7 linked regions of the Nothobranchius furzeri genome follow. The protein of the gene in region 3 interacts with the protein of the main gene of each other region in a biochemical or structural test. Links are inferred from orthologs where the notes say so. Each region holds a gene or a part of one and is shown on either strand. Other genes may lie near its edges. The genes, in order: gucy1a2, gda, snta1, kcna4, adra1d, adrb1 and abcc4.

Region 1 (4,041 bases), on a different chromosome or scaffold from region 3:
CTCCTTACTCTTGTCTCCCGTTTCTTTCCTCGTCTTGTCTTCTGTCTCCTTCCTCCCCTTGTCTCCTGTTTCCTTCCTCCCCTTGTCTCCTTTTTCCTTCCTCCTCTTGTCTCCTGTCTCCTTCCTCCTCTTGTCTCCTGTTTCCTTCCTCGTCTTGTCTCCTGTTTCCTTCCTCGTCTTGTTTCCTGTTTCCTTCCTCGTCTTGTCTCCCTTCTCCTTCCTCGTCTTGTCTCCCGTCTCCTTCCTCCTCTTGTCTCCTGTCTCCTTCCTCCTCTTGTCTCCTGTCTCCTTCCTCCTCTTGTCTCATGCCTCCTTCCTTCTCTTGTCTCCTGTCTCCTTCCTCCTCTTGTCTCATGCCTCCTTCCTTCTCTTGTCTTATGTCTCCTTCCTCCTCTTGTCTCATGCCTCCTTCCTTCTCTTGTCTTCTGTCTCCTTCCTCCTCTTGTCTCTTGTCTCCTGTTTCCTTCCTCCTCTTGTCTCCTGTTTCCTTCCTCCTCTTGTCTCCTGCTTCCTTCCTCATCTTATCTCCTGTCTCCTTCCTCCTCTTGACTCCTGGCTCCTTCCTCTTTTTGTTTCCTTGTTGGTCTCCTCTCGCCTTCAGAAAAACTGCTTTCTGGCCTTTATATTAGTAAATTAATTTACAATGTCATCAAAGTCCAGATTCCTGACAAGCTGAGATTCAATTGCCATCAGTGATGGTGCATTGAGGCGCTGTTGAGTTTGTGTTGTTCTCAGTTCATTTTTTATTCTTGCCATTTGTGAAAATCATTCCCCTTCACAATTTGTAACTGGTGGCAGGCATGTTGCAAGCTTTTCAAAAGTGTGGGGGATGTTGTCTGTGCCTAAAATAATTTTATGTTATTCATCTTGTTAGTTTAATTTCCATAATAGCTGAGCAGGTGTGAATTTTAGACGCGTCACGCATGTCTCCGTTTTAAACATGTTTAAACTGTTCAGAATACAAATCCGGGCTCTGTCTCATTAGATTGGTGCAACTAAAGTTTGTACTCAATGAAATTTTTACATTCAACCATGGTGAAAAGGTAAGAAAAAGATCCGATTAAATCGTTTTCCCCCCTCATTTACAGTCACGGAGTACAGCGCAGTGCGCATGGCTCTGGGGTTAATCAAGTTTAATAGTTTCTCTTTGAAAAAATCTTCACAAGAAGGCAAAACTGTTAAATGGCAGGTTACAGATATTTCCATTTGACTGTTTATTTTGACGGATAAACTCAAAAATGTTGGTTGTTATGAAAGAATTACCTCAATGCACACTGATGCGCACACAGATGAGCTGACATTTTAATCGTTACGCACATCTCGGGGGTAACTAAATAAATCAAGAAAAGATTCTCATCAGAACTTCAGTGCTTTACACTGGACACTGCTCAGCGCGGCTGGGAGCGAACACGGACAATGAGCTGAAGATCTGTAGAGGGGTTTGTAGTGCAGCGCAGAACCACAGTGATGCGGTAAGATTTCCTTCCACTGAAGCGGTCTGGAAATGCTGTCTCTCTGAGGGATGTGTCACCTGGAAAAATGTTCTCTGATTATGAAATTTTGGCTGAATAGCGCTTGTTCCCGTCTCCAATATGGGCACGCATGACACATCCAGTCTGTCTGAGGCAGAATAACCTCTTCAGCTCAGAAAGCACCTGTTGAGACATTTGATCATGCACAAAGTTTATGTGGAGCAGAAGCAGTCGGGCCACGGCAGGTGAAATGTTCCTAGCCTACATGAAGTGAAACTGTTTAGTTGTAACATTAATATGTTACTGGACACACTGGTCTGGTTGGTTAGACCAGTGTTTGAAGTGGAAAACACACACACACCAATTAAAATAATGGTGATAGCGTGGACTAGAAGCCAGGTGATGGTTTATGTATTTAAATGATGATCAGACTGCTGTAAAATGTAATCTGTTGCAACAAACAGACACCAGAAGTGAGGAACAGAAAATTAAATGACCCTTTCAATGTTTAGAGCAGCAGGAACTCTGAGAGGCTGCAGGCGCATCAGTGAGTTTGCGGCCGCTGTGCAGGGGGAGAGTGCTGAAGCAGGAACAGTTAAGATGCAAAAACTACCGTTGTTAAAATAAATTGTGTTAACTTAGAAAATGTGGGCGCAATTTTCATTACTTGTCAACATTTTTCTCCAACGTTAAGACTGCTGCACAAGAAAAAAAAAAGACTGCTGCTTGCGTGGGCCCTTTGTAGCTGTGGGCCCCTGGGCCTGTGCCCAGTTTGCCCATAATCCGGCCTTGCAGATCAGCACTAGAAGATTCTAGATGAGCAGAGACTAGTCATACACATTGGCTTGATAAGTAGATAAAAACATTTCACTATAACATTGAGTTGCTGGTAAGTTGTTGCTGGAATTGCTGGGAAAAAGTTGCTTGAGTAGCCAGCAATTTTTTTCTAGTTCACTGTTAGCATTGTTAGCTCAATGTTAGCCTCTAGCCTACTTCACCCGATAATAGAGTAAAACAATAAGAATACCATGCCTTTGTAGGTTTACAAAAAATAGCTTCTGGGCCCCTCCTTTGATTGGCCAACGTTCTTTCCACAATGCTGCCGCCTTTTCCTGGCTGGTGTCAAATTACAGATGCTAAAACTGGCTCTCGGAGCAGGAAGTATGGAGGCGGGACAGAAGGTAAAAAAAAATATAAAGGCTACATTTCTCTTCAGCTCTTGTTAGAAAAACTGGCAACCACCAGTCGATGAGAAGGACATCTATTTCAATGTAACCTTCCTTCCAACTGGATAGAGTCATTAGAAGGTTAAGTGGTTATTTCACCATAAACTTCTTACTTATTGCACCTTTAAACAACCAAAACCAGTTGACATAACTTGGTTAAGGGACTTTCACATTTAAATTCATATGTGTAATATCACACCAGGACCATCAGTTCTTTATTTTTAGTTTCTGAGTCAACTGTCAAATAATTTCCAAGATAAGTTATTAAAATTTGATGTCATCTCGATGATATATGTAGCTACTGAATGAAATTACTTTAAAACACCAAGAACAGCCCTTTATATCTTGTGGCCTGTCTGCGCTTGGCTATAAATGGCTGGCGGCCAGCTCCAGGCAGCCCCTCTGCTCGAAGGTTTATCTTCTTTGGAACATAATTTGTTTCATTGTAGCAGTGGCTTTATTAAATGCCCACATTATGACCGTAGGGCTGCGGACTGATTGGTAAGTGCAAGCAACCAGATAAGGAAAGAGAGGCAGAGCTTGTGCACAATGTGTGTGAGGGAAGAGCGTGTGTGGGCGTTTGTTAGATAGAGAGAAAGTCTGTGCAGTGGATTGGGGTCATGTTGCTCCTGAGAGTCAAATAAATTAACAAGAACCTTCAGGAAATTAACATAGGGATGTGTGCGTGCCCACATGCATGCACTTGCATGATGCATCATGTCTGTTTCAGTGTCTCTGTCGGTCCCATCGGGCTCCATAATTAACAGACATGCTGTGCCAATGGAGGTCAAGGTCATGGCTGTTATTAGTACCAGACAAGAGCATCATTCTGTCCTCTGATGGAGGCCAGTGAGCTTGTACTACCGCTGCAAGCTCCATTAACTGCCCTTGGAGCCATTTTTTGTCCTCATGTATGCTCACATCAGGCATCATGTCCCCATGGCCTGTTGACCATGACGTTTAACTATCATCACATTCAGCTGGATTTTTATTTAATTAAATTTTCTGTGAGATACAAGCATTATTTCATAAGGAATATTTGTCCAATCATTCCACATAACTTATTTTTAATTGTTTTTAAATGAAATTTCATTAAATGGCCAGTTTTGCTTATGACCCCTGTCATATACTGTAAAATCTGATTAGTTCACCTTACTTGGAAAAATCAGAGACCGTTAATAAAAGAAGTACATGGAAGTATGTTTTGGAGCTACAACTAAGACAAATTATACATAGAACTTGGAAAAAATGCTTACTGAACATGTATTTCTGAGTTGTATAAGCAGTGGTAAACAGGAGGCAAATGTACCTTTGGCATATAGCATTTAAGCACATTTCATTTT
Region 2 (4,103 bases), on a different chromosome or scaffold from region 3:
GTTGATTAGATAATTGCATTAAGGAGAAGTTGAACAGGCGTTTCTAATAATCCTTCAGGTGAATGTACATATGTCAAGACATGGTTTTATTCTTTTATTACGGTTTTAATGTTATATAATTGCCGAATAAAATTAAAAAAAAACTTGCTATAAAGTTGTTTTATTAGCATTAGCTAATACAAATAATTTTTAAAACTAGATTTATAATTATCTCATGTTTCAGGCATGCCACATCCATAAATGTTACTGTTTCATTCATAAACAGAAATAAGCTTTAATCCATGTCATGGTCATAAAACCAAAAATTATTCTGTTTTATTTTTCATTTGGTTATTGGTGTGTGTGTGCGTGCGTGCGTGTTTACATTATTAATATAATTTTAAAGTGAAAGTACAATTCTGACTAGTAAAAGCTTTGAACACTTTTGGGTAGTAAAACGATAGATTCCTGTAGGGTACATATCCCTTTGTACTGGGCTTATTTGTTGCAATATATTTTTTAATTAGTTAAATCTAAAAAAAAAAACGATAACACCTCGGTGTTTTGAAACACAACAATATTAAACATCAAAATCACCAATTTAGCATCATTACATTAATCTAAAAGCATATTAAAAACAAAAGAAAATATCACAATTTCACCACAGGATTATATTAAATTATAAATAAATGTTAAGTAATAACATTATTTCTTTATTTTCCATGTTATTAAGCCTTATTTCAGTTGTTCTGACAGCCTTTTTTCTCATCCTGACCTGAGTCCATAAAATGTTTATTTTCTTGTATGATGTCATCTTAAAGAATTCATGTTTTCATCTGTCATGTGATCCTGATAAAATCAAGAACGAACTTTATCCGTTTTTTTTCATCATCGTGGCGTGTGTTAGTCATGGAGGTTCTCATCACTTTGAAACACTCATGACTGAAACATCATGTGTTTTTACACATGATGCTTAATAATAATCTTGTAATTTCAGTCATTAATGTTTTCTTGTTAACTCGTGAGTTTGTAAATAAGTTCTGGAAATAAAAACTGCTTATTTCATAAACAAAAAAAATTAATGGGCCTTAAAAATAAAAATGAACATGTTTTTTGATACAACATGAAGATTAGTGTAAAGCTGTGTTTTGGTTTTAAGCTGTTTTCATTTCATCTGTGAACTTGGCGTACCTTTTCTGCTCGCGCGCGCACACACACACACACACACACACACACACCTCACCCATCCTCTAATCTGATTGGCTGCGTACCGGCTCTGCGGTCAGGTGGAGGCGCCCTCTAGTGGACGGTGATCAGGAAGATAAAAGCCGCGTTTTATTGCAGCAGGTATCTCACCGCAACATATCACACTGCTGTAGTAATGGACTCCTCCGTCAGGTCCTGCTCCGCTGTTGCGTTTGTCTACAGGGGGACATTTGTCCACTCGACGCCTCAGACACCGCTCCAGATCCTAGAAGATGCGCTCCTGGGAGTGGACACCCGAGGAAAGGTTTGACAAACTCCTCTAATTTGATCGGGTTTATTTACAGTTTATGTTTTCTTTTTCAAATTGACAACTGAATAAATGATCTGATAAAACGAAGGCAATGAAAAGTTATAAACTTATAATATTTTATCTTGAGTTGTTTCCCGGTGACTTGATCATTTGCGCTTTTATTATAATAAATTCTCATTCAGCAATTTCCGTGAAACTATTCTTTACTAAAGAAAAACAATTTATTCATTATGTAACCCAGACAAACAGGTTAGTGTTATTATTTAACATAAAACATAAAAAGAAATGTTTTAATTTATATATATGATTTTCTTTATATGTGACAGTCCTTGTGACATTTATATATATCCACTTTAGACAAAAAAAAAACCTTCTTACATTTTTGTTAGGTGTTGTAAAATAAACCTATTGAATAAAATTATAACAGAATGCAGAAATACAGGAACTTTTTGGTAAATATCAATACAGGAAGAGGGTGAGGTTTTCTGGTTAAAAGCTTGACACATGTTATAAATACATCTAATTACCTCTTTCTGTCATCAGATTGCTTTTATTGACAAAGGAGGAGAGTTACAGGATTTGTCTCAGACCTTTGGATTCAGTCCATCTAAAGTCATCCAACTGGAGGATCAGTAAGAGAATGAATTATGACACACTAGACGGGTCAAGTCAGAGATTAACTTAATTAAATCCTTATGAGACAAATAAACACATTTACACACCTTTTTTTTTTGTTTTTGTTTTTTTGCTGTGTTACAGTGAGTTCTTCATGCCTGGGATGGTGGACACACACATTCATGCCTCCCAGTACAGCTATGCTGGCACAGCCCTAGACATGCCTTTGCTGCAGTGGCTCAACACCTACACCTTTCCTGTGGAGTCCCGTTTCAAGGACTTACAGTTTGCCCATAACGTCTACACACAAGTAGTGGTGAGCAGGATGCAGAATTTTTACCCCAAGTTCACAATTTAGTGACACCATTGGTTTAACCCTCCCACTGTCTTAATGGGTGTGACCCCACGAGGAAAGGTGGCCATTGAGCATGGTTGATGGTTTATCCCTTGGGTCCATGTGGCAGGGGGGAGGAGTGAGCACCACCTCACCCCTGCCACATGGACCTCAAGGGATAAACCATCAATCCTGCTCAATGGTCAACTTTCCTCGCGGGTCACCCATAAAGACAGTGGGAGGGTTAAAGTTTGAAATGAAGTGGTCTTCCTGTAATGTAAGCTTGTGTTTTACAGAAAAGAACCCTAAGAAATGGAACAACTACAGCCTGTTACTTTGCTACTATTCACACGGATTCTTCTCTTCTGCTGGGGAGGATTGCACGTACGAAGTTGCACACGCACACATGCACAGGGAAACACTGTAATTCAAATCAGCCTTTCAATGCAGAAAACAAGAATAACATTTCGTTAAACAGCATATTTGAGCTCATGATTCAGGATTGATTCACAGCAGAAAGCTGACTTTTCTCCTAATTTGCATGACTGCAGCATCTATACCCCACCTTTTCTTTTTTTTTAGCTAAACATACATTTTCCATTAAAATCAAGTTGATTGTTTTGGATGTTTTTTTTTTTTTTGCATAACTTCTCATCTTGCAGAACAAGAAAATCTATCCTCTTTAGCTGACTTAACACAAAAATGCTCTTTCTATTCATGGGATTATTCAATTCAATTCAAAAAATACTTTATTAATCCCAGAGGGAAATTGATGATGTCATGCCCGAAATCCTTTAGATCAGCAGATAAAAATGTGATCAAGCCGTCACATGTTTGGCTTGATTCTGAAAGAGGAACATATCAGATATTTGAGCTTTATTTTATTTTTACCAACTGTTCCTCTGGACTCAGCAGAAATGTGCTGAAAAGCAGAGCAGCCTTTTACCTTTATGCCTTGTTCTTATCATCTCACTGTCTTGTTGCATAACGCCGAACGCAGGCTCACATAAATGAGTAACGGTGAAAACGCGGAATCGTACATGAGGTTTTGCAGCCTCACTCGGTCATTTTATGTAATCGTGGTCACTGAACCCTTAACTTTGTACTGCCAGACATCCAGTAGCCTGCTCATTACATGGTTTATTAAAAACACAACAAGTCCACAGCTGATGTCAGCTGTTTGATGGCCTATCGGGTACTTAAGACGAGGTGGATTATTTATCCAATTTATGATTCAGACTGTGTCAACAAAACAATAAGCTAACTTAAAAACAGCTGTTGGTAGAGAAGTACTGTCATGAGTTAATAATTTACATACCAAAAGGGAAGTTTATTGGCAGCTTTATTGAAATCATAATTGTTTTTGTTTCTGACATCAAGGTTAAGCTGTTTATTTCCTATAAACCTGCATTTGAAACATTTGACTGTGTAATTTTCCAACATTGTTTTACAGTTTGTCATGATTATCTACAGAAGTATACAAATAAGTCCACATAACCCCACCATAGACCTGCTATAAATGCAACTAAAGACAAGCTCAAACAGAAAATGACAAGAAATGCAGCAGCAAACCTGTAATCTGGTTTGCTATGGGTCAGTTATCCTTCCTATAAATGAATAAAGTTGTAAACAAACATAAATGAAATGCTCATGTCACCC
Region 3 (3,500 bases):
TACCCTGGCTACGACTCCAATCTGCAATATAGTCCTTCGCAGGAGACTTAAAGTCTGCTACCACACCTTTAATCTATGCAGCTGTCTGCTTATCTGACTGCTATTCATTCCAGCAAGACAAGGACATTTAAAGATTTAAAAGAATCATTTAAATAAACTCTCTTTACTGCTAACCATCAAGGTTCATTATAACTGTGTTTAATTACTGAAATGAATTATTATTCTTTGGTTAATAATTGTGATAATCAGTAATGCGTAACTATGACAAGAATCATGTGCACTTAGTCAGCTCACACAGGTCACAGTAACTATGTTAAAGGTAACTGCACTCACATGATCTTTTCCCATAACACCAGAACTTTCTATCTTCAGAGAGGCATGTTTCTGAGGGTTTGTTAAATCTTCCTTCTACATGTCAAAACCTGATTCGTTACAAATGATAATAGCCATCTTTTAAAACAGAACTCTCGTCATTTGCGAGTGAGTTCTAGAGAAGGTTGGGACGGCCGCCCACACTCTCTTTAACCAACAAAGCAATTTCTGTCACGCTGAGTTGCTCCGACACAACAAACGACACCTGCAGAACAATCTGATGCTACGAGATTCCTTAAGAATCTGCAGACGCAAACAAATTCCACCTGTGTGCCTGCGGCATCTCTAGGACCGGAACGAGTCCTACCCAGTCTCTCAGCCTCTCCAGTAGCAGGTGATGGTCAACAGTGTCAAAGGCTGCAGTCAGGTCCAGCAGGACCAGAACAGAACAGTCCCCTGCATCACTGAGAGTCAGAAGGTCATTAGAGACCCTAAGAAGAGCTGTTTCGGTAGAATGAGCTCTACGAAAACCTGACTGGACGCTATCATAGATGTTATGTTCATCAAGAGCAGCTGTGAGTTGTTTAGCCACAACCTTTTCCAAGATCTTAGAGATGAACGGAAGTTTAGAGATGGGTCTGAAGCTGCTGTGGAGAGAGGGGTTGAGACTCGGTTTTTTAAGAAGCGGGTGGATTACAGCATTCTTAAAGTAAGCAGGGACCTGACCAGAGACCAGAGAAGCATTAATTATAGAGAGCACGCTGGGACCGATGGACAGAAAAGCACTTTTAAACAAAGATGAGGGTAAGTTGTCGAGGGGGCATGCAGAGGTCTTCATAGAGTTAACTAGTTTGGTTAACTCAGGCAAAGAAACCGGAGCAAAGCTATCTAGGATGATGGGCCTGGTTGGAGTCGGGAGAGGCAGCAATAAGGCTGAAGGAGAGATGCTCGATCTAACCTTATTGACTTTGTCCACAAAGAAAGACAGAAAGTTCTCACAGTCTGCAACAGAGTGGATGGAGGCTGTAGGTTTGGCAGGAGAGACAATGCTGCTGATGGTGTTAAACAGCACCTTGGGGTTCCCTTTGCTCTGGGACACCAGGTTGGAAAAATAGGAAACCCTAGCATCTCTGACTGCAGAGTTAAAGGATGTCAGAAGATCCTTTAGGTGCAGCAGATGGACGTGGAGATGGGTTTTCTTTCACAAGCGCTCAATTTTTCTGCATTGGCACTTCAGGCTGCGAAGGCTGTCATTAAACCAGGGAGTAGGGTTCACTACAGGAACTGATCTGGTTCCGACAGGACAGATATTGTCCAGAATAGAGAGGCAGTGCTTGTTTAACTGAGAAGTTAAGGAATCTGGGTCGTTATCAGAAGAACAGGGTGGATCAAAAGCAGCAGAAAAAATTTTAGCTGTGCTCTCATTAAGAAAACGAGAACTAACCATACGGCGAGCAGGAGGTGGGGATGCAGAAACTGAAGAGTTAGGAAATGCAATGGTAATCTGAAATATAAACGTCCTCAGGACAAACACTGTCAGCATTTAGACCCAGTGTAAAAACAAGGTCCAGTGTTCCCCCTGGTGTGTGTGGGGCTAGAAACATGCTGGGTAAAGCTGAAGGAGTCCATAAGGCTGGAGAAATTCATAGCAAATTGGTCTGAAGGATCATCAACGTGGATGTTAAAGTCACCCACAATCACCAGTCTGGACAACTTCACAGTGGAGGCTAGAAAGTCACTAAACTCCTAAAGGAAAGAACTGTTTGGACCAGGTTGACGATAGACCACAGCACAGTAGAACAGATCTTTATGCCCGACTTTAATCAGCTGCAGTTCAAAGGAAGCAAAGTGATCAGAGGTTGTAGAGCTACATGGAAGATGGTCTCTGAAAACAACAGCTAGGCCTCCACCATGACTAGAACCCCAGGGCTGGCTAAGAAAAGAATAACCACTCGGGCAGAGTTCAATCAGACCAGAATAATCAGAAGTTTGCTGCTAAACTTCAGTCAAAAACAGAAAATCCAGGTTTTTAGAGAGAATTAAATCATTGAGAAGGAAGGACTTATTGTTAACAGAGCTGGTATTTAATAGAGCCATGCTGAGTGAGGTGGTGGAATCAGAAACTACAGAAACAGCTGGAGTTAGTGGACGTAAATTAGCAGGGTTAGATCCACGGTGTTTATAAAAACCACTTATGGAGGGAACAGGAGGAGAAACCACTGCGGAATGAGGATAAAGCTTTCCTTCTACTTTCTGAAACATGAGAGTGTTTCTTTCTCAGAGAATGACTCACAGGGCATTTATTCATTCATCGTCAATGTTTACATAGAATTAAATAAAACTCAACTTTATTAAATTATAAAAAAAGATCAGCACTGGCTGATGTGTAATCATAACATAAATGAGAACATTTTCAGAACAAAAGAATAAGTGGAAGTGCTGAATGAAAACCCACACAGAGAATCAACAGTAAATATTTCTCATTTAAAAAGTATCCTAATAAAATGAGATCCATGAAGGTAAATCAAAGGAAAAACCCCCAAAGGTACAACTTGGTTAGATGGTTTTTGATTTTTTTTAACAAATTTGTATTTTTAATACCTTGAATTGCTTAACTGATGGCATTTTGTGCAGAGTGGAAGCCCTTAGCAAACCGCAGAAACATTAACTCACTCTCTGACCTTCATTTAATGATTTAAAGGGAGGGAGAGGATGCAACAGAAACCTCTAGAAATTACTACAGAAGAGTAATTGCTGCTGTCTGTGTCTCTTTAATTGAACCTTTAACTGCAGTGCATATGAAGGAGAGCAGTGTGAAGGTAAAGGTAAAAAAAAAGTATGATTAGGTGAGAAATTCTGACACTGTTAAATAACCGCAGCAATTAAATAACCACTGAAACAAACCTGTTTTTTTTTCCTTTTCCTTTTTTGGCCCTACAGGAGGAAAGGAAAACAAGATGCCCATCCTCATCTCCAAAATTTTTAAAGGCCTGGCTGCTGACCAGACTGAGGCGCTTTATGTTGGCGATGCCATATTGTCTGTCAACAGTAATGATTTACGGGAGGCCACACACGATGAGGCTGTGCAAGCGCTAAAAAAAACTGGCAAAGAAGTCATTCTTGAAGGTAAGATATTTTTCATTCCGAGAGAAACAAACTGGATGAACTTGGTGGCTCTGCTTCTAATA
Region 4 (4,137 bases), on a different chromosome or scaffold from region 3:
TGAGTGTTAAAATCCTCATTCGTGTTCCAGCTGAGCAGAAGGTGCCTACCGTGTTGCCTGCATGGCCTACAGTTTCTGTCTCTACATAGAAATCTGCCAAACCCAGCGCAAATTCTACATTAGTGCAAACATGTTTTAAACTGTATTGCATAACAGCAAAAAGATCGTCCCTAACCCTCTGGTGTGACAGATGAAACTCATAAAGTGCGAATGCATAGCCTGTTTCTAATTTAGATCTGTCAGATTTGGAAGCCCGCACAGAATAAATTAATATATTTACCAATAAATTAGATAAATTATAGATTATGATTGTGTCAAGAGAAAACTTTTGAGCTTGCCAATTAGTTTCGTGTTTATGTGTGAGTGTATGTGTGTGCGTAAATCTGTGTGTGTCTGTGTGCACTCTGACGCGTGCGTAAAGCCTGTGTTTGGGGAGGGTTGGGGAGGGGATTCCGCTGCTGTTGAGCAGAAAGTGTCTCTACAAGATGCTTTTCTTCTTTGGAAAACAAAACAATACCACTAATAATAATAAACTACTGTAATCACACGTCAGTCTGAATGGATTTAGAGTTAGTACTGTTTTTCCTGCTTATGTCTGTGCCGTTTCCTTTACTGGGGCTCTTGTCCAGCCCGCACAGCGACTCCGTCACCCCTTCCTCCATCTCCATGTACTCCGCTTTGTCACCCAGCGATGAGCCAGAGGGTGAACCTTTGAATTTTCTTAGAAAGTCAGGGAAATAAGGGCATCCCGGGGGCATGCTCTCCACCACGGCGGGCGGCTGGTCGTCGTTATCCGTCTCTCGGTGGTAAAAGTAGTTAAAATTGGACACTATGACAGGCACCGGCAGCGCGATGGTTAACACGCCCGCGATCGCGCACAGCGAACCAACTATCTTCCCACCAACAGTGATGGGCTTCATGTCACCGTAGCCAACCGTCGTCATGGTAACCACGGCCCACCAGAACGCGTCGGGGATGCTCGTGAACTGAGAGGTGGGTTCGTCCGCCTCAGCGAAGTACACCGCGCTGGAGAACAGGATTACGCCGATGACCAGGAAGAAGATGAGCAGAGCCAGCTCCCTCATGCTGGCGCGCAGCGTGTGACCCAGGATCTGCAGCCCCTTGGAGTGTCTGGACAGCTTGAAGATGCGGAACACCCGAACCAGGCGGATTATTCTCAGGATGGCGAAGCTCATGGTGTGCTGCCCGTTGCCCTGGTGCTGCGCCAGATCCGTGCCAAGAGTTATGAAGTAAGGCAAAATGGATACAATGTCTATCGTGTTCATAATGTTTTTAAAGAAAGCTGTTTTGCTCGGACTTGCAAAGAAGCGCACTATAATCTCAAAGGAGAACCAGATGATGCAGACCGTCTCCACGATGAAGAACGGGTCGTTGAAGGGTGTGAAGCCGTGGTCCGGCTGAGAAGAGTTGTGTCGTGGCTGCAGGTACTCTTTTTCATCCCTGAACTCTGGCAGCGTCTCCAGGCAGAAAATGACAATAGAGATGACGATGACCAGGACGGACACCACCGCGATGCCCCGGGCAGGACTCGAGCTCTCCGGATACTCGAACAGCAGCCAGATCTGGCGCTTGAACTCGTCCTCCGGCAGAGGCTTTTCCTCCTCTTTCACAAAACCCTCATCTTCCCGAAACTTGAGGATCGCCTCCTCGCCGAGTTCGTAAAACTTCACCTCCTCTGAGAAGATGTCAAACGGCACGTTCACGGGTCTTTTTAAGCGCCCCCCTGACTGGTAGTAGTACAGGATGGCATCGAAGCTCGGCCGGTTTCGATCGAAGAAGTATTCGTTCCTCAGCGGGTCGAAGTACCTGATGCGCTTGTCGGGGTCTCCCAGCAAGGTGTCTGGGAACTGAGTGAGAGTCTTGAGCTGAGTTTCAAACTTCAGCCCCGACACGTTGATGACCACCCGCTCGCAGCAGCCGCACTCGCTGTAAACGTTCTCGTAGCCGGACTGAGGGCGCCGGTCGGTGATCGACACCGTCTCCTCATCATCCATGTTGCACAGAAAACTCGACCTTTTGCTGCCTCGAACCCCCTCTGCCGCCTCCCCTTCTTCCTCCTCCTCTTCCTCCGCTCCCTCGGCCTCCTCCTCCTCCTCCTCTATCATGATGTCCTCCTCGGATCCGAGCAGCGCCAGCTCCGAGTGGCGCAGGTCCCCGCCGAGAGTGCTCCGGTTGCGCCTCCACCGTCCGACGCCGCGCTGCTTTTTCCGCTCTCTGAGAACTCTGTGCTGCTGCTCGGGTTCCTGCTGATGCTGGGAGGAGGAGGAGGAGGGGCGCGAGGCGGCGCTGCTGCTGATGTTCGCGGAGGAGGAGGCGGCGCGAGACTGATGCTGGCGATTGTTAAGGAGATGAGCGCTCGAGGAGGCGGTGGAGGTGGACCCCCCTACACCACCGCCTCCACCACCTCCTCCTCCTCCTCCTCCTCCCTCCGCACCAGAGCATCCTTCGGCCGCGGCCGCTGCAGCCGCCGCTCGCGACTGGGCAGCCTGGCGCTCCCTCTCGCGCTCCCTTTCCCGTGCGCGAGCTTGGGCATATCCGTAAGGCAGGTGACTGTTGCACCCTCCGTCCGCACCCACCATCGCAAATTCCATTTTCAGTCGATCAGCGGCGCAGTAAGCGCCACGACAAGGTGTGGATGCAGAGCAGGGGAGAAAAGTTGCAGTTCGGCGCGCGCAGAGACGCGAGGGCACGAGGCATCAACCGTTCCCGGGAATAAGAGAAAGTGAGAACAACAAACACTCCTCAGAAAGGTCCATATTGGGTAGCTTCTTACATGATAGAAGATAATGGTCGTGGCTCGAGCACCCAAGATTTTATGACATCATTAGAAGCAAAATATAAACATAAGGATAATACAAATCCAAGGGCCAGTGGCATAGCCTGTTACGCAGACGCTCTGTCAAACTTGCAGCGCCGCTTTATGTGTTCATAAATCACCGAGTCAACAAGCGACACCAAAACAGTCTCTCCTCCGTTTCTCTGGTGGCCATCAGGTGGCTCATTCCCCCACGACCGAGGGTTTGCGCTCAAACGCGTCCTTTAATCCTCCGTGGTCACCCGTGGTTGCCATTTTATGAGGTGAGATCTATATTTGTGTTTCATTTGGATGGATCTCCGCTTTATTCTGGAGCTCCGATGAATCCGAATGACTTTTCCTCTCAGAAGCTGCGAGAAAAGGAGAGGATAGGATTTAGACAACAACACGAGAGAAAGGGACGTGTTAATATTAATGATCGCTGTGCATATTACGAAACTTCACACGCTTATTATTATTATTATTATTATTATTATTATTATTATTATTATTATTATTATTATTAATATTAATGCTTGGACGGCATTAACAAAACACGTTTCGCACGAAATCCTCTCACTAAGCACCATTATTTCATCCTGACATCCATACTTACATCCGTAAAGGGCCAAAAGAGCCTCAGCCCTCCTAAAAACACATTTGTTGGAAGATGATGAGGAGGCGAGGATACAGATTTTCTTCTGCGCTCAAACCTTCGTCTTGATTGTGAGGCGTGATAATCACAAATCCGTCTCCGTCTCCAACGGGCGACCATATCCACATCCAGCATATGCATCCGTGCTCTGACGCACTCTGAGGAGGGCACTTTTTCCGGCTGCGTGCATGTCGACGTGTTGTCTCAATTCAACAGGATCTGTTGGCACTTGAGCCTCAATTTCTGCGGCACCGCTTCTGGGGAATCAGGTGTTCACGCAGCGAGTTGGCATCTACGATGGCTCCACGCGACCGCGAGCAGAAGAAAACGAGGGTGGGTAAAAGTTTACCTTGGTTCGGGCGGAAAGGAACGGCCTCAGTCTGAGCATCACACATCTGTCTGTCTGCCGCTTTAGCTCTACCTATCTCCTGTATCCCTCCCATTGTGTGTGTGTGTGTGTGTGTGTGTGTGTGTGTGTGTGTGTGTGTGTGTGTGTGTGTGTGTGTGTGTGTGTGTGTGTGTGTGTCGTGTACTGCAGCGCGCAGGCGGCGCTCGGTCCTCCCCCAGTGGACGCAGCCGGTACTGCGTACCTGCTGCAGTCTCTCATCCACAATTATCTGCCCTTCAGCATGCCTCCATGGTGCCAAACTGACTTTTTTTCCTCAAC
Region 5 (4,230 bases), on a different chromosome or scaffold from region 3:
TATACATGTTTTTTTGTCCTTAAACGTAAAAGTAAAGAGCTGAGTAATCTGTTTTTATGAAAGGCAGCGACAGTAAGGGACTTGTGAGGTTATGATGCAGTTGTAGAGTGATCTGGCAAGCAGCCATGAGGTCAAAGAACCTTTCCCACTCAAGTGGTTGATCCTCCCAAAAGATAAGTGACTAATACTTCAAAATAAAAGTCTTTGATTAAAACAGCAAGGTCTGAAGCAGAACATGTGACTGAGCTGGGCTTAAATAGACAGGGAAGTGCAAACAAAGACAATGGAAACAGGTGAGATGATTGCAAATGAAAAGGGCCAACAGGTGTGACTAATTAACTGAGAAATAGGAGGCAAAACACAACACAAGATGTAAATAACAACACAAAACGATAAAACAACAACTAGAACAGAATGATACTAAACTAAAGGCTGAAAGAAATAAACTAAACAGGGAAGCTAAACGAGGATAAATGCTCTGAGAACTGAAGCCCAAAAATAATAATTAATGAAGTGAACTAATAAAACAGAAAATAGAAAATAATCGAGAAACTAAGCAACTAAAGATGCAAGTGAAACTAATGCAGGGAATCCAGGAGAAATCGAGAGATAAATATTGATAAACTGACAAACCTAATAGAAGCTAAAGTAAAAATTAAGACTTAACTGGGGAAAACAGAATAGAACACAATAAAACAAAAACATGCCAACTGAAACTAAAAGGCTGGGAGAAATAAACAAAACACGTGAATCCAAAAAGTCAAAATCTTTGAAAGGGGAAAACACAGAATAAGGACCGGGGACTGGGGAGACTGTAAAAGGGAATGAAGGTGTAGCGTGATGAATTGTCCATCACGTAAGCGGGGGGGGGGGGGGGGTGGGGGTGGGGGTGGGGGGACGGACAGGCCCGTCCTTAGAGCACACAAAACCTGGAGATGGCAGCCACATCTGCGTCTGGGCACTCCAGCTATATCCCTGGATGTCAGAGCAGACTTGTTGGGTAGGTTGGAGGATATGAGTGATTCTGTCTCCTGAGATTTCAAGGATGGAGCCCAGATTCATTGTTTGCCCTTCTTTGTCTTTTTGTGATATTTGCAATGAATGTATGATAAATACTATTCAAATATACCTCAGAAAAAAGGCAGAGCATAAAAAAATGACTGGCCATATGAAGCTCCTGTTGTTTGGGAGGCTGCGAACGCAACAAGCGCCACATGAATGTGGGTGGAGCTGGAGGTTCAGACCTGCTGTAGCAGCTCTGGCTGTGATCAGAGTTGTTCCAAAGGATGTCACCATGCAGAAGAAAAACGCGCTATAATGGACCTAAATGCGCTTCCGGTTGGGGCTGTTCATTAATCCACTAAGCCAGGATTTAAAACAAATTTACAGGAAAAGGACGGATCTGAAGGCGCGTGCGGGTGGATGTTTTTGTTATTATTTGTTTTGAGTTGAATTCTTTTATGTTTTGTTAGCTGTTTATTCTGATGAAAGCCGCCAGGTTGCGTTTCTGAGACCAACGCGGAGCGAGGCAGAGCGCAGCGCCCATCAGCCAGTTTTCCTGCGAATAAAACTTCCTCTAAAGTTCTCTTTATGGCGCAAAATGACAGACTCTAATTTGAGGAATGAAAGCAACTATGGGCTGTCTCCTGAAGCGTTCAACGACTCTGTTCTGGACCGCTTGTTTCAACGTGACAACATCACATGTCAGAACTTCACCGTGGACTCGCAGGCTGTCGGCGTCGGGATCTTCCTCTCTGCTTTCATCCTGGTGGCGATCGTTGGGAATATTTTGGTCATCCTGTCCGTGGTGTGCAACAAGCAACTGCAGAACATCACCAACTTCTTCATCATTAACCTGGCCATGGCGGACCTGCTGCTGAGCATCATCGTGCTGCCCTTTTCCGCGTCTTTAGAGGTGCTGGGCTGCTGGGTGTTCGGCAGGGTGTTCTGCAACATCTGGGCAGCTGTGGACGTGCTCTGCTGCACCGCCTCCATCCTCAGCCTCTGCATCATCTCCATCGACCGCTACATCGGGGTGAAATACTGCCTCAAGTACCCGAGCATCATGACAGAGAGAAGGGCAGTGGCTATTCTGGTGCTGGTGTGGGTCTCATCCGTGGTGATCTCTGTGGGACCGCTGCTGGGATGGAAGGAACCCCCGCCTGTGGACGAGAGCATCTGCAGGATCACAGAGGAGCCCGGATACGCGCTCTTCTCCTCGCTCTTCTCCTTTTACCTCCCGCTCATGGTTATCCTCATCATGTACTTTCGGGTGTACGTGGTGGCCCGCAGGACCACGAAGAGCCTGGAAGCGGGCGTCAAACGGGAGAGGACTAAGTCTGTGGAAGTTGTGCTCCGGATTCACTGCCGCAGCGTGCTGGAGGACGCGCGTCCGGCCAGCTCCAAGAGCAGCAAAAACCACCCATTCCGAAGTTCGCTCTCAGTGCGGCTCATGAAGTTCTCCCGGGAGAAAAAGGCTGCTAAAACTCTCGCCATCGTGGTGGGGATGTTCATCCTCTGCTGGCTGCCCTTCTTCTTCTTCTTGCCATTAGGTATGTTCATAGTTTCACGGGTTTTTCCATAAAATGGAAATCTTTGCGACCATCTATGGGGCGCCGATTGTGAAAGTAAAGGTTCTAATTAAAATCTAAACGTTTTGACTAAAGTCTAAGAGGTATATAAAAGAACGCATATGTGCTTAGAATCAACATATGCTGTTCAATATTTATATTTAGAATCATTCAAGCGCATTGTTGTAAATTTAATTATCAATTGCCTGCTGGTGATTGTGGAGGGACCTCGCTTGCCTCTGTCAGTGAGCCCCAGGGCAGCTGTGCCTACAATGCAGCTCATCACCACCAGGGTGTGAATTTGTGTGTGAATGGGTGAACGACTGATTGTGTTGTAAAGTGCCTTGGGGGGTTCCAGGACTCTAGAAAGCACTATGTCAAAAACAGGCCATTTACTATATTTACTATAGACAACCAACACATTCGTGTTGATGTAGAATGAAATCAAATTGAATAATCAAATCATTGTTCATTTTGACATTGTGAGCCCACCGCAGGGCACAAACTTTACTTGAGACAAAAGTAATCAGTAAGTGTGAGGTGATCTTTATGCTACACAGAAACCCAAATCAACACACAAAAAAATGGTGGTGATGGTGAACATTCTGCTCAGCTTTATGGTTGACTCTGAACCAGGAAATAAAGCTACAGAACAACCAGTGAAACCGCCCCCAGCAATCAACGGCAAACGGTTCCAAGGCCCGACTCGGCCCTTGGAACCACAGAGAAGCAGGGACCAAAAAGTAGAGGGAAAGTAGGGAGAAAACAAATCCTTGAAATGAAATGAAATGAAAAATGAGTCCAGACCGAATCGCTTCTCCCGACGCAGGTTGAGGTGTGGCACCGGAAAAAGCCTCATTCACAGTTTTTGAAGGAACTGGGCTGGTAGGTTGTTCCATACACCTTGGGGGACTAATCACAGATCTTCAGTGGATGTAGGCATCCTCACATCCTTCAGTTTCTTCATGCAGTCCTAGAAACACTCCATGATGTTGAGATCAGGGCTCTGTGGGGGCCAGACCAACACTTCCGGGACGTCTTGTTCTTCTTGATTCTGAAGATAGTTCTTAATGACTGTGGCTATATGTTTAGGGTCACTTGCTTTGTATTTTGTACATTACTAAAAATAAACAAGTATTTTTTAAGGATGCTCTTTAAACATCTTTTATATGTTCATTCTGTGTATTTCTTCTAACTGCATTACTTGGTTCTTTTAGGAATGCTCGATACTGGCTTGTTTACTTCTATCCGATATGCCAATGTTATCAACTCTTAATTTCCATTATCGAAATATACAGAGATCCCTCTCATAAAAAAGAAAATCTAAAACATTTAAGGTTACTGACATCACATATCTCCTCTCATGCTTACATCTTTTACATTTTCTGTGCAAAATGAGAACTACTTCAGTTTATGTTAGGAAAAATGGCATTTTTAATTAGCCTCCATCAGCAGCTGAATCTCATTCTCCCTAAGTGGGCTGCTAAGATGTGTGTATTAGTCAGTAATGTATGTTTTACTTATATTGCACAGTAATAAAACATTTGTAAAGATCTTGAGATGAGAAAAGCAACGCTTGATTGTTATAGTTAGTCACCACAGGACAAAATTCTACTTTACAAGTTGTGCCAAATACACTAAAACATTTAAACAACTTTAT
Region 6 (4,224 bases), on a different chromosome or scaffold from region 3:
TCATACAATGGAAGATGTTTCATGGCTATTCTCACACTCCGATACTCAAAAGGAACGATTGGGATTCTGCAGGATTTTGGAAACATGGGAACTTTGCTGCGATTTGGAAGTTACAGCTGGGTAATAAAACAATTCTGGTTATCCACTCATTTTAGGAAGTCTATTAGTGTTTGCATGCTTTAGTGTTACATCCGTTGATTCTGCTTTTTGTAAAAAAAAATAAATAAATAAATACTTAAATTTAACAAATCAAAATAATAAGAGTCTTACATGTTTATAAGAAGATAAAATCACCTGTATAGTCATAGCGGCCTTTCTGCGTGGAGTTGTGTGTTCTCCCCATGCATGCGTGGGTTTCCTCCGGGTCCGGTTTCCCCCACAGATCACAACATGCCCTATAGGTTATAAACTGTAAGTCGCTTTGGATAAAAGCGTCTGCTAAATACATTAACATAATAAACGTAAAATGTGGCTCTTTGCATTTATTCAAGGAAAAATTAACAATATGTTGAAGGAACTTTCAGCCCTTTTCTCTGACTCCGTCACAAACACCAGAATCATTTGAGAAAACAAAACATAAGATTGAAATATTTTTAGGGTGTTTCACTTAAAAATCTTTCAGCTGACTACATAATATTTCAAACAGTCAAGAATAGAGCTGTTATTACTTCATTCTAAGCTTAATTTATTCTGTGCTCAGCTCACATGTATGTAAAAACTGTGTGTTTAAATGTTTTTCCAGAATCAGAAGTTGGTGTTACCCATGCATAACAACTTCATCACAAAGAGAAATATTTAATATTCCTCTCGGTGATGCATGAGTACCGTTCTTGGGTTATTTTCTCTGCTTCATCAGAAGTTTCTGCCTCTAATGGTGCAAATGAAGGGAAAACACTGAGAACAGGAAATGACTTAACCCTTTACTGGTTCCAAATGTGTGACGCTTAATTGTTCCACCAAAAAGCCAGCAGGGAAAAACATCATAATCAAAAGGCTTTGCTTCAGCCTCCACACTTCAAGGTCAAAAAAGAAAAAAATAAAAGCATCCTGCTGCTCATAAAGGTCAAGGGGGAATGTTGACTTCTCTTCGTTGTGTTGGGTCGGGTTGTGTTGCAGCCTCAGCTGTGGGGTCGCTGGGTTCATGGGCGGGAGCGTAAATCGTCCACATAAAAACAAACAAAGTTTTGTTGTTTTCCATTTTTGTGCAGACTGTTTGTCATGAGGCCGGTGGAAATTTACACATCTGATGTGGACTAAGGTGTACAATCACTCAGAGCTCAAAGGTTATGGTCCATATTGACATGACAGCATCACACAGCTGCATGATGGGAGTCTCCTGTTCCACCACATCCCACATGTTCTGGACTGAGATCTGACTGTGGACATGGTTGGAGTCCAGTGAACTCATGGTCATGAAACCAGATGATCTTCGTGACATGGTGCTTTATCCTGCTGAAAGTGTAGCATGGGTTAGGGTCCACGTGGTCATGGATGGACATGGTAGTCTGTGGTGTTTAAACCAGGCTCAGGTGGCACTGGGGGTCCAGAGTGGGACAAGAACATCTCCCCCACACCATTGTACCACGCTGCAGCAATGATACAAGACAGGACGGATCCAGGTAGTTCACATATTCTCTCATTAACATTAATTAAACAGCTGAGCAGGTGCAGAGTGACCAGTTTATTTAAAACAAACTCAAGTGGGACAGTGGTGAGTCTTTACATTGATGCATTTAATAAAATCTGGTTGTGAGCCAAACGCTTCTTTATGCAGCTGTGAGGCCAGTCTGCAGGTCTGTGTTGGGTCAAGTCTCATGTTTAAGGAATGTATTCTCAGAGATAAAAATATAAGGAGAAAAACAAGTTCTGGACGTGATAGCAAGTGGTGACAGGAGGGAATTCCCTCTGGACCATTGTGATGTTTCCCATATTTGGTGCACCGTTTTCCCACAGTGTGGGGTTTTGCAGGATAAGAAATTCATGGGTCAATTTCTCATCAGAATATCGCGAATGTTCAGTAACTGTCCAGTGCATGCAAAATAAGACTGGAAGTCTGCTTTTCTCAGGTGCAGCTTGTTTCCTGATCCTCACCGCTGGGACCGCGGGTCCCCTGGACTTTCTGATTGGCCGTGATGAGCGGTGATGTCACCGCCTACCTCGCTGTCCAGGCCGGCGCGGTTTCGAGCGCAGATCCAGAGAGAGAAGCTAAAACACTCCGTGGAGTCGGCGCGCGATGGGATGAGAGCTGCGTGAACGCCGCACAGCGCTGCCTGGATGAGACCGAGCTGGTCCAGCTCACAGAGCAGCAGCCCGTCATGGGGAACGGTGGTGCGTTCTCACCGGTGAACCTCCACAATGGCACGGGGAGCGAGGCGCCGGGCTCCGCTTCACCTGCGTCGGAGCAGTGGATGGCGGGGATGAGCCTGGTGATGGGTCTGATCGTCGTGTCCATCGTGTTCGGGAATATCCTCGTGATCGTGGCCATAGCCAAGACGCAGAGGCTGCAGACGCTCACCAACGTGTTCATCGTGTCGCTGGCGAGCGCGGACCTCATCATGGGGCTGCTGGTGGTGCCATTTGGCGCCGCGCTTGAGGTGCGCGGCTCCTGGCTCTACGGCTCCTTTTTCTGTGAGTTCTGGATCTCCGTGGACGTGCTGTGCGTCACCGCCAGCATCGAGACCCTGTGCGTCATCGCCATAGACAGGTATGTGGCCATCACCTCACCTTTCCGCTACCAGAGCTTGTTAACCAAGGCTCGCGCAAAGGCGGTGGTGTGCGTGGTGTGGGCCATCTCTGCGCTGGTCTCCTTCCTGCCCATCCTGATGCACTGGTCCCGCGACAACGTGGACACAGCCTGCTACGAGAACCCGGAGTGCTGCGACTTTGTCACCAACCGGGCGTACGCCATCTCCTCATCCATCATATCTTTTTACATTCCTCTCCTGGTCATGATCTTCGTTTACGCACGGGTGTACAGAGAGGCCAAGCAGCAGCTGAGGAAGATCGACAAGTGCGAGGGCAGGTTTCACAACACCCTGACTGGACTCACCTCCAAGTGCAAGAAGAGGCCGTCCAAGATCCTGGCGCTGAGGGAGCAGAAGGCGCTCAAGACGCTGGGCATCATCATGGGGACTTTCACTCTGTGCTGGCTGCCCTTCTTCATAGTCAACGTGGTGCGGGTGTTCAGCGCAGAGGTGGTGGACAAGAACCTCTTCGTGTTCCTGAACTGGTTGGGGTACGTGAACTCGGCCTTTAACCCAATCATCTACTGCCGGAGTCCGGACTTCAGGAAGGCTTTCAAGAGGCTGCTGTGCTGCCCGAGACAAGCCGACCGCAGGCTGCACATCAGCTCCTGCGACCTGTCCCGCTGTTCCGGCGGGTTCGTGTCCGCGCTGGAGCCCGGGACCTTGGAGATGTGGTCGGACTGCGCCGTCCTGGACAACAGCGACAGCAGCCTGTTGGGGACAGCGAAACTGTCCCACTCAGAATCACAACTGTGAAGAAAATAAATAAAACCATCCAGATGGAGAGTTAAAAATATATACAAACAGGAAAGGATGCGCGTAAAATCCAAACCATTCGCTGTAAGTGGAGTTGTCTGTACAATCAGTTAAAGATCTTGGTCTTAATTCATCGATGCGATAAATCCAAAATCGAAGGTTTGCGCTCACAGAACACAAAGCGCTTTTTCCACAAAAGCGCACGAGCCTTAAGGTGATTTATTACTGCAGATGCGACTTTTTACTCCAGATCTGTCGACCAGGTGGCTATAATATTAAAAGAATCACGTTTTGCTGATACCTTTGTTCATAATGGGAAACAATGTGTTCCTAAAATGATCTCTGAGGCGCTCCAAAACGCGCATAACGTGGATGCCAATAAGCTCTTAATTACCTCACAGGCCGGTGCAATTTATACGGCAGGTACTTGTTTATATTAAACATAATGTAAAATAAGTGTTTTTATTTATTCGGTGCGTTCTTTTACAACATAACCAAGTGAGGGGTCAATAATTGCGCATTTTGTGGTGTGGAATGAGGAATCTCGAGCCTCTGTCTGTCTCCGGCTTTACCAGCTGTTTTAAGGTGGTGCTTTGACGTCTGTGAAAATAAAAATAACCTTTGATTGCTTAGTTCTGTTCGAGCTGTATTTCCTGTGAGTGGTTTTATATTAGAACCTGATCCACAGGCTTTTGCTCCATGGTAATTTCTTATTTTTTACATA
Region 7 (3,500 bases), on a different chromosome or scaffold from region 3:
CACTCCTTAACGAAAATAACAGCTGAGACAGTCAGCTCCATGTGTGTGTGTGTGTGTGTGTGTCTGTGGCCCGGAGGACAGATGACAGGAGAACGCGCAGCTAATTAATTAAATAATTTGGTTCTGTACCTTTCTCTTCAGCACAGCCGACAAAGGTTTATGATGGGTCAGTCCTCCTGCATGCTCAGATCATTCCCTTCCCTTGCTTGAAAATTTGCTCCAAAATAAAAGTTGAACCCACATCTTTTTTATCTGTGAATTCAATGCCGTTCGGCGAGTCTCAAATAAAAATTTGGGCATCCTACTGTAAAAAAATATACCATTAATGTAAAAAAGAAACTCTAAAATGTTCACACCCAGAATCAAACCCAGGTCTTCTGCATGGGAGTCAGACGTCTTACAAAGTGAGCTACACACCAGTAACACTCAATGTATCTGTAACATTTATATCCTTGACGACAGCTGAAACAACGTCAAACCAAAGAACGGTTCAAAGTGAAAATGGCTATTTTGTTGCTAATTTGCAGGAAATATCTAGAAGAAAGTTCTACAGAAAGTAGCTAAGGGTCCTCAGAAATGTAGCTAGCTTTGTCACTAGGCGTTAGGAACAGCGACAAAGTGGCACTGCCTCTCTCTCTGCTGCTAAAGCTACGGATAGCAAATGCTACGAGCTATGCCTGAGCGTGAACGCGCATGAAGCAGCCTGCTCGACCCGAGCATCTCTCTTTTTCTGTGATTTTACAGAAAAACAGGCAATCACAGTAAAAATGCCAGGGCTCATTCTACAGGACCAGGGCATTGCAGGAGAATGTGCAAGTGAGTCAGGCTTTAGCCACCAACACATATGGCTGTGTTCCAATTCACAGGCAGCATCCTTCTATGGACCGGCCCACATATGTTGGGTTCTTCCTCGACCGCTTCGTCTAGCCTTCATATTTATTCCTACGTCCTCGGCATATGTCCCGTTGCCTAGCAACTGTGACGGTGCTAAACAGAAGATAAGACTAAACTTTGTGTAAAAACACGAAGGACCCGGCATGCTAGCTAGTTTATTAGGATTTTTCTTATTTTTGACAAAAGAAGAAAACATGCAAACGAAGAGTCTTGACAACCCAACTGCTTTAGCTTTGTCCTCTTTGACCTCCAGATATTAACGTAGCAACACTGTGATCCTCCCCTGCTCCATTCACCATTAATGCTACAACAAAATTCACTCGTTCAGCCCGCATTGAATCCTGGGATAACCGTTGCCACGAGGATACTGTAGACCCGTCTTTAAGCCCATGTCAGTAAAACCCGATCAAACCCTTCTTACAGGTCAAGTGGAACAAGTGCTTAGCAGAAGCGCTGATGTGTGTAACCTCCTGAGACCCAAGCTTGTATTTGGTGTGATTCAAAAGGAAACACATATCTAGCTATCAAAAGTTTAAATAAAATAATGATTCCATTAAAATCTTGTCAAATTTCTTTACAAAAAAAAGAAAGACAACAAATAATTTTTAAAATTAAAGTCAACATCAAGTGTATAAATAACAACAACAAGGTCTAAGTTGAAGAGAATAAAATCTTATAGTGAAAGGAGCTAATGTCCACATCCATGGCCACAGGGCCCAAGGACTTGCCTGGATCCAACTCCTCTCACAGGGAATCCTTCTGTAATTATGCGTTTGCCGCGTCACGGGCAAGTCCTGACTCACCACATGTCCCACATAACCTGAGGAAAGGACATTTTTCTCCAAACCAGATACTGGGATCATGAGGTCCAGAATGCTGCCAAAGAGATGCGAGCACCGGCGCTGGGGAAAGTCATTATCCGCTGTTACTGGAAGTCCTACGGTGTGCTGGGAATCTTTACTCTGATAGAGGTTGGAGCTGTTGCTGGATCACCTTTAATGTTCTGAGTGGAGATTTTCATGCCCTGACCACCTTCTCCTCCTCTTACAACAGGAGACCATTAAAGTGGTCCAGCCAGTCTTCCTGGGTCAGATGATTCAGTACTTTGAGAGTTATGACCCAGATGATCAAACGGCTCTGCATGAGACGCTAGGCTACGCCGCTGGGATGGCCCTCTGCACCATGGGCCTGGCGGTGCTCCATCATCTCTACTTCTACAATGTTCAGAGGGCGGGCATGAAGATCAGAGTGGCCATGTGTCACATGATCTACAAGAAGGTGTGTGTGTGTGTGCGTGTGCATGCATGCATGCATGCCTTTGCACTGCTAATTCTCCCTTCTCTTTCCCAAAGGCTCTGAGCCTGAGCAGCTCAGCCATGGGAAAGACCACCACAGGCCAGATCGTCAACCTGCTCTCTAACGACGTCAACAGGTTTGATGAGGTACGGCAACCCGCAGAGTCCTCTATTCTGCTCGAGTATACCCGTGTTCATTTTGTTGACCAAATGTTTTTGTTTATTTTTTCATGAAAAATGAATTTTTGATGACAAAACAAAAACGATCACTTCTATTAAAAAATGATAACGGTATTTATCAAAAAGAACCAGTCGGAGTCCGGAGCTGGCTGCTGTTTGAACAATGTACTGTAACAGTTGAACAGTACATGTCTAAAAGGAAAAAATGTCCACGGGTGAGAGGAAACCATCTGGATAGTATTTGGTTGGTGAGTGCCCTCCTGGGGTTTCCCTGGTTTTAAAGGTGTTACGGTGGAAGCAGCGAGTGTAGATTTAAGATACCATCCTCCTTTATTTGTCCCACATGTGGGACATTTGCTAGGGGCTGGTGTCAGAAGCGAGCAAATCCTCATAGACTCCCATGTTAAAAATACCAATTTCACAGCAGAAATAAACATGTTTACAGCCTGGTACCAAAACATGTTTTTGGTTTAAATGATCTAGTTTACACTCATGACAACTCTGAGGGGGGTGATTTTTTTCTCACTCTTCTGTTTAAGTGTATTAAAAGCCTAAAATTCTGTATAATTAATGAGCATCAGACCCACGTGACCACAGTTAGCTCCGTGGAAAGGCCTCAGTAGAGCCTCGGTCTGGCCTGGAAACTGTTCCGGGATTTTGAGTCTCTGTGTTTGTGTATTCTTTTTTTGGATATTATTTGTGCAATTGTTGGATAAAATGACTTGCTGTGGCATTAATTGCACTAATAGAGCATCCAAGGAGTCTCCACTTCATTTTTTTCGGTAAGTAAAATTATATTTATGTATTTTAGGTCACTGCCGAGCTGAGCTTAGATTTTAACATGTACTGTTTAACCATGAAATTTAAATGTAATAGGGTTAAACCCAGTGCATTTAACATAATGCTGCACTTTAGAAAATGGGTTGAAATATAACATGTTGGTGGAGCTGGGTTCCGGCTATCGGCTTGTTGAGCTCTTCTCCCCTCCCCGCAGCTCGGCGCATCTCTGTCTGATCACAGCTTCTGTCTGCTGCGCGGGCTGCCGGCTTGTGGAGCTCTGGGATGGAAACCTTTCCACCCGGTTCTCCCCAGCGGCAGCTCTGCGCATCTCAGATCGCAGCGGCGCTTGTC

The links.
Region 1: the proteins of snta1 (region 3) and gucy1a2 interact in a test that uses a peptide from one of them, tested with the Homo sapiens proteins (3 studies listed by BioGRID and IntAct, with this or other methods). The link is inferred for Nothobranchius furzeri from reciprocal best matches to the Homo sapiens genes SNTA1 and GUCY1A2.
Region 2: the proteins of snta1 (region 3) and gda interact in a test that uses a peptide from one of them, tested with the Homo sapiens proteins (2 studies listed by BioGRID and IntAct). The link is inferred for Nothobranchius furzeri from reciprocal best matches to the Homo sapiens genes SNTA1 and GDA.
Region 4: the proteins of snta1 (region 3) and kcna4 interact in a test that uses a peptide from one of them, tested with the Homo sapiens proteins (2 studies listed by BioGRID and IntAct). The link is inferred for Nothobranchius furzeri from reciprocal best matches to the Homo sapiens genes SNTA1 and KCNA4.
Region 5: the proteins of snta1 (region 3) and adra1d interact in a test that uses a peptide from one of them, tested with the Homo sapiens proteins (2 studies listed by BioGRID and IntAct). The link is inferred for Nothobranchius furzeri from reciprocal best matches to the Homo sapiens genes SNTA1 and ADRA1D.
Region 6: the proteins of snta1 (region 3) and adrb1 interact in a test that uses a peptide from one of them, tested with the Homo sapiens proteins (2 studies listed by BioGRID and IntAct). The link is inferred for Nothobranchius furzeri from reciprocal best matches to the Homo sapiens genes SNTA1 and ADRB1.
Region 7: the proteins of snta1 (region 3) and abcc4 form a complex in vitro, tested with the Homo sapiens proteins (2 studies listed by BioGRID and IntAct, with this or other methods). The link is inferred for Nothobranchius furzeri from reciprocal best matches to the Homo sapiens genes SNTA1 and ABCC4.

What each region holds. Positions count from the first base shown.
Region 1 is NC_091753.1:35,474,315-35,478,355, reverse strand, and holds the start of gucy1a2 (guanylate cyclase soluble subunit alpha-2), read left to right. Parts: upstream 1-1,241; 5' UTR 1,242-4,041. UniProt on the Homo sapiens protein: Has guanylyl cyclase on binding to the beta-1 subunit. Isoform 2 acts as a negative regulator of guanylyl cyclase activity as it forms non-functional heterodimers with the beta subunits.
Region 2 is NC_091757.1:40,758,581-40,762,683, reverse strand, and holds the start of gda (guanine deaminase), read left to right. Parts: upstream 1-1,303; 5' UTR 1,304-1,360; coding exon 1,361-1,489; intron 1,490-2,038; coding exon 2,039-2,127; intron 2,128-2,254; coding exon 2,255-2,426; intron 2,427-2,740; coding exon 2,741-2,828; intron 2,829-4,103. UniProt on the Homo sapiens protein: Catalyzes the hydrolytic deamination of guanine, producing xanthine and ammonia.
Region 3 is NC_091743.1:60,389,355-60,392,854, forward strand, and holds part of snta1 (alpha-1-syntrophin), read left to right. Parts: intron 1-3,252; coding exon 3,253-3,438; intron 3,439-3,500. UniProt on the Homo sapiens protein: Adapter protein that binds to and probably organizes the subcellular localization of a variety of membrane proteins. May link various receptors to the actin cytoskeleton and the extracellular matrix via the dystrophin glycoprotein complex.
Region 4 is NC_091749.1:47,038,238-47,042,374, forward strand, and holds kcna4 (potassium voltage-gated channel subfamily A member 1), read right to left. Parts: upstream 2,801-4,137; 5' UTR 2,613-2,800; coding exon 543-2,612; 3' UTR 396-542; downstream 1-395. UniProt on the Homo sapiens protein: Voltage-gated potassium channel that mediates transmembrane potassium transport in excitable membranes. Forms tetrameric potassium-selective channels through which potassium ions pass in accordance with their electrochemical gradient.
Region 5 is NC_091746.1:78,324,893-78,329,122, reverse strand, and holds the start of adra1d (alpha-1A adrenergic receptor), read left to right. Parts: upstream 1-1,430; 5' UTR 1,431-1,600; coding exon 1,601-2,552; intron 2,553-4,230. UniProt on the Homo sapiens protein: This alpha-adrenergic receptor mediates its effect through the influx of extracellular calcium.
Region 6 is NC_091756.1:38,265,707-38,269,930, reverse strand, and holds adrb1 (beta-1 adrenergic receptor), read left to right. Parts: upstream 1-1,424; 5' UTR 1,425-2,132; coding exon 2,133-3,500; 3' UTR 3,501-3,956; downstream 3,957-4,224. UniProt on the Homo sapiens protein: Beta-adrenergic receptors mediate the catecholamine-induced activation of adenylate cyclase through the action of G proteins. This receptor binds epinephrine and norepinephrine with approximately equal affinity.
Region 7 is NC_091754.1:57,249,940-57,253,439, forward strand, and holds part of abcc4 (ATP-binding cassette sub-family C member 4), read left to right. Parts: intron 1-1,744; coding exon 1,745-1,865; intron 1,866-1,947; coding exon 1,948-2,172; intron 2,173-2,246; coding exon 2,247-2,336; intron 2,337-3,500. UniProt on the Homo sapiens protein: ATP-dependent transporter of the ATP-binding cassette (ABC) family that actively extrudes physiological compounds and xenobiotics from cells.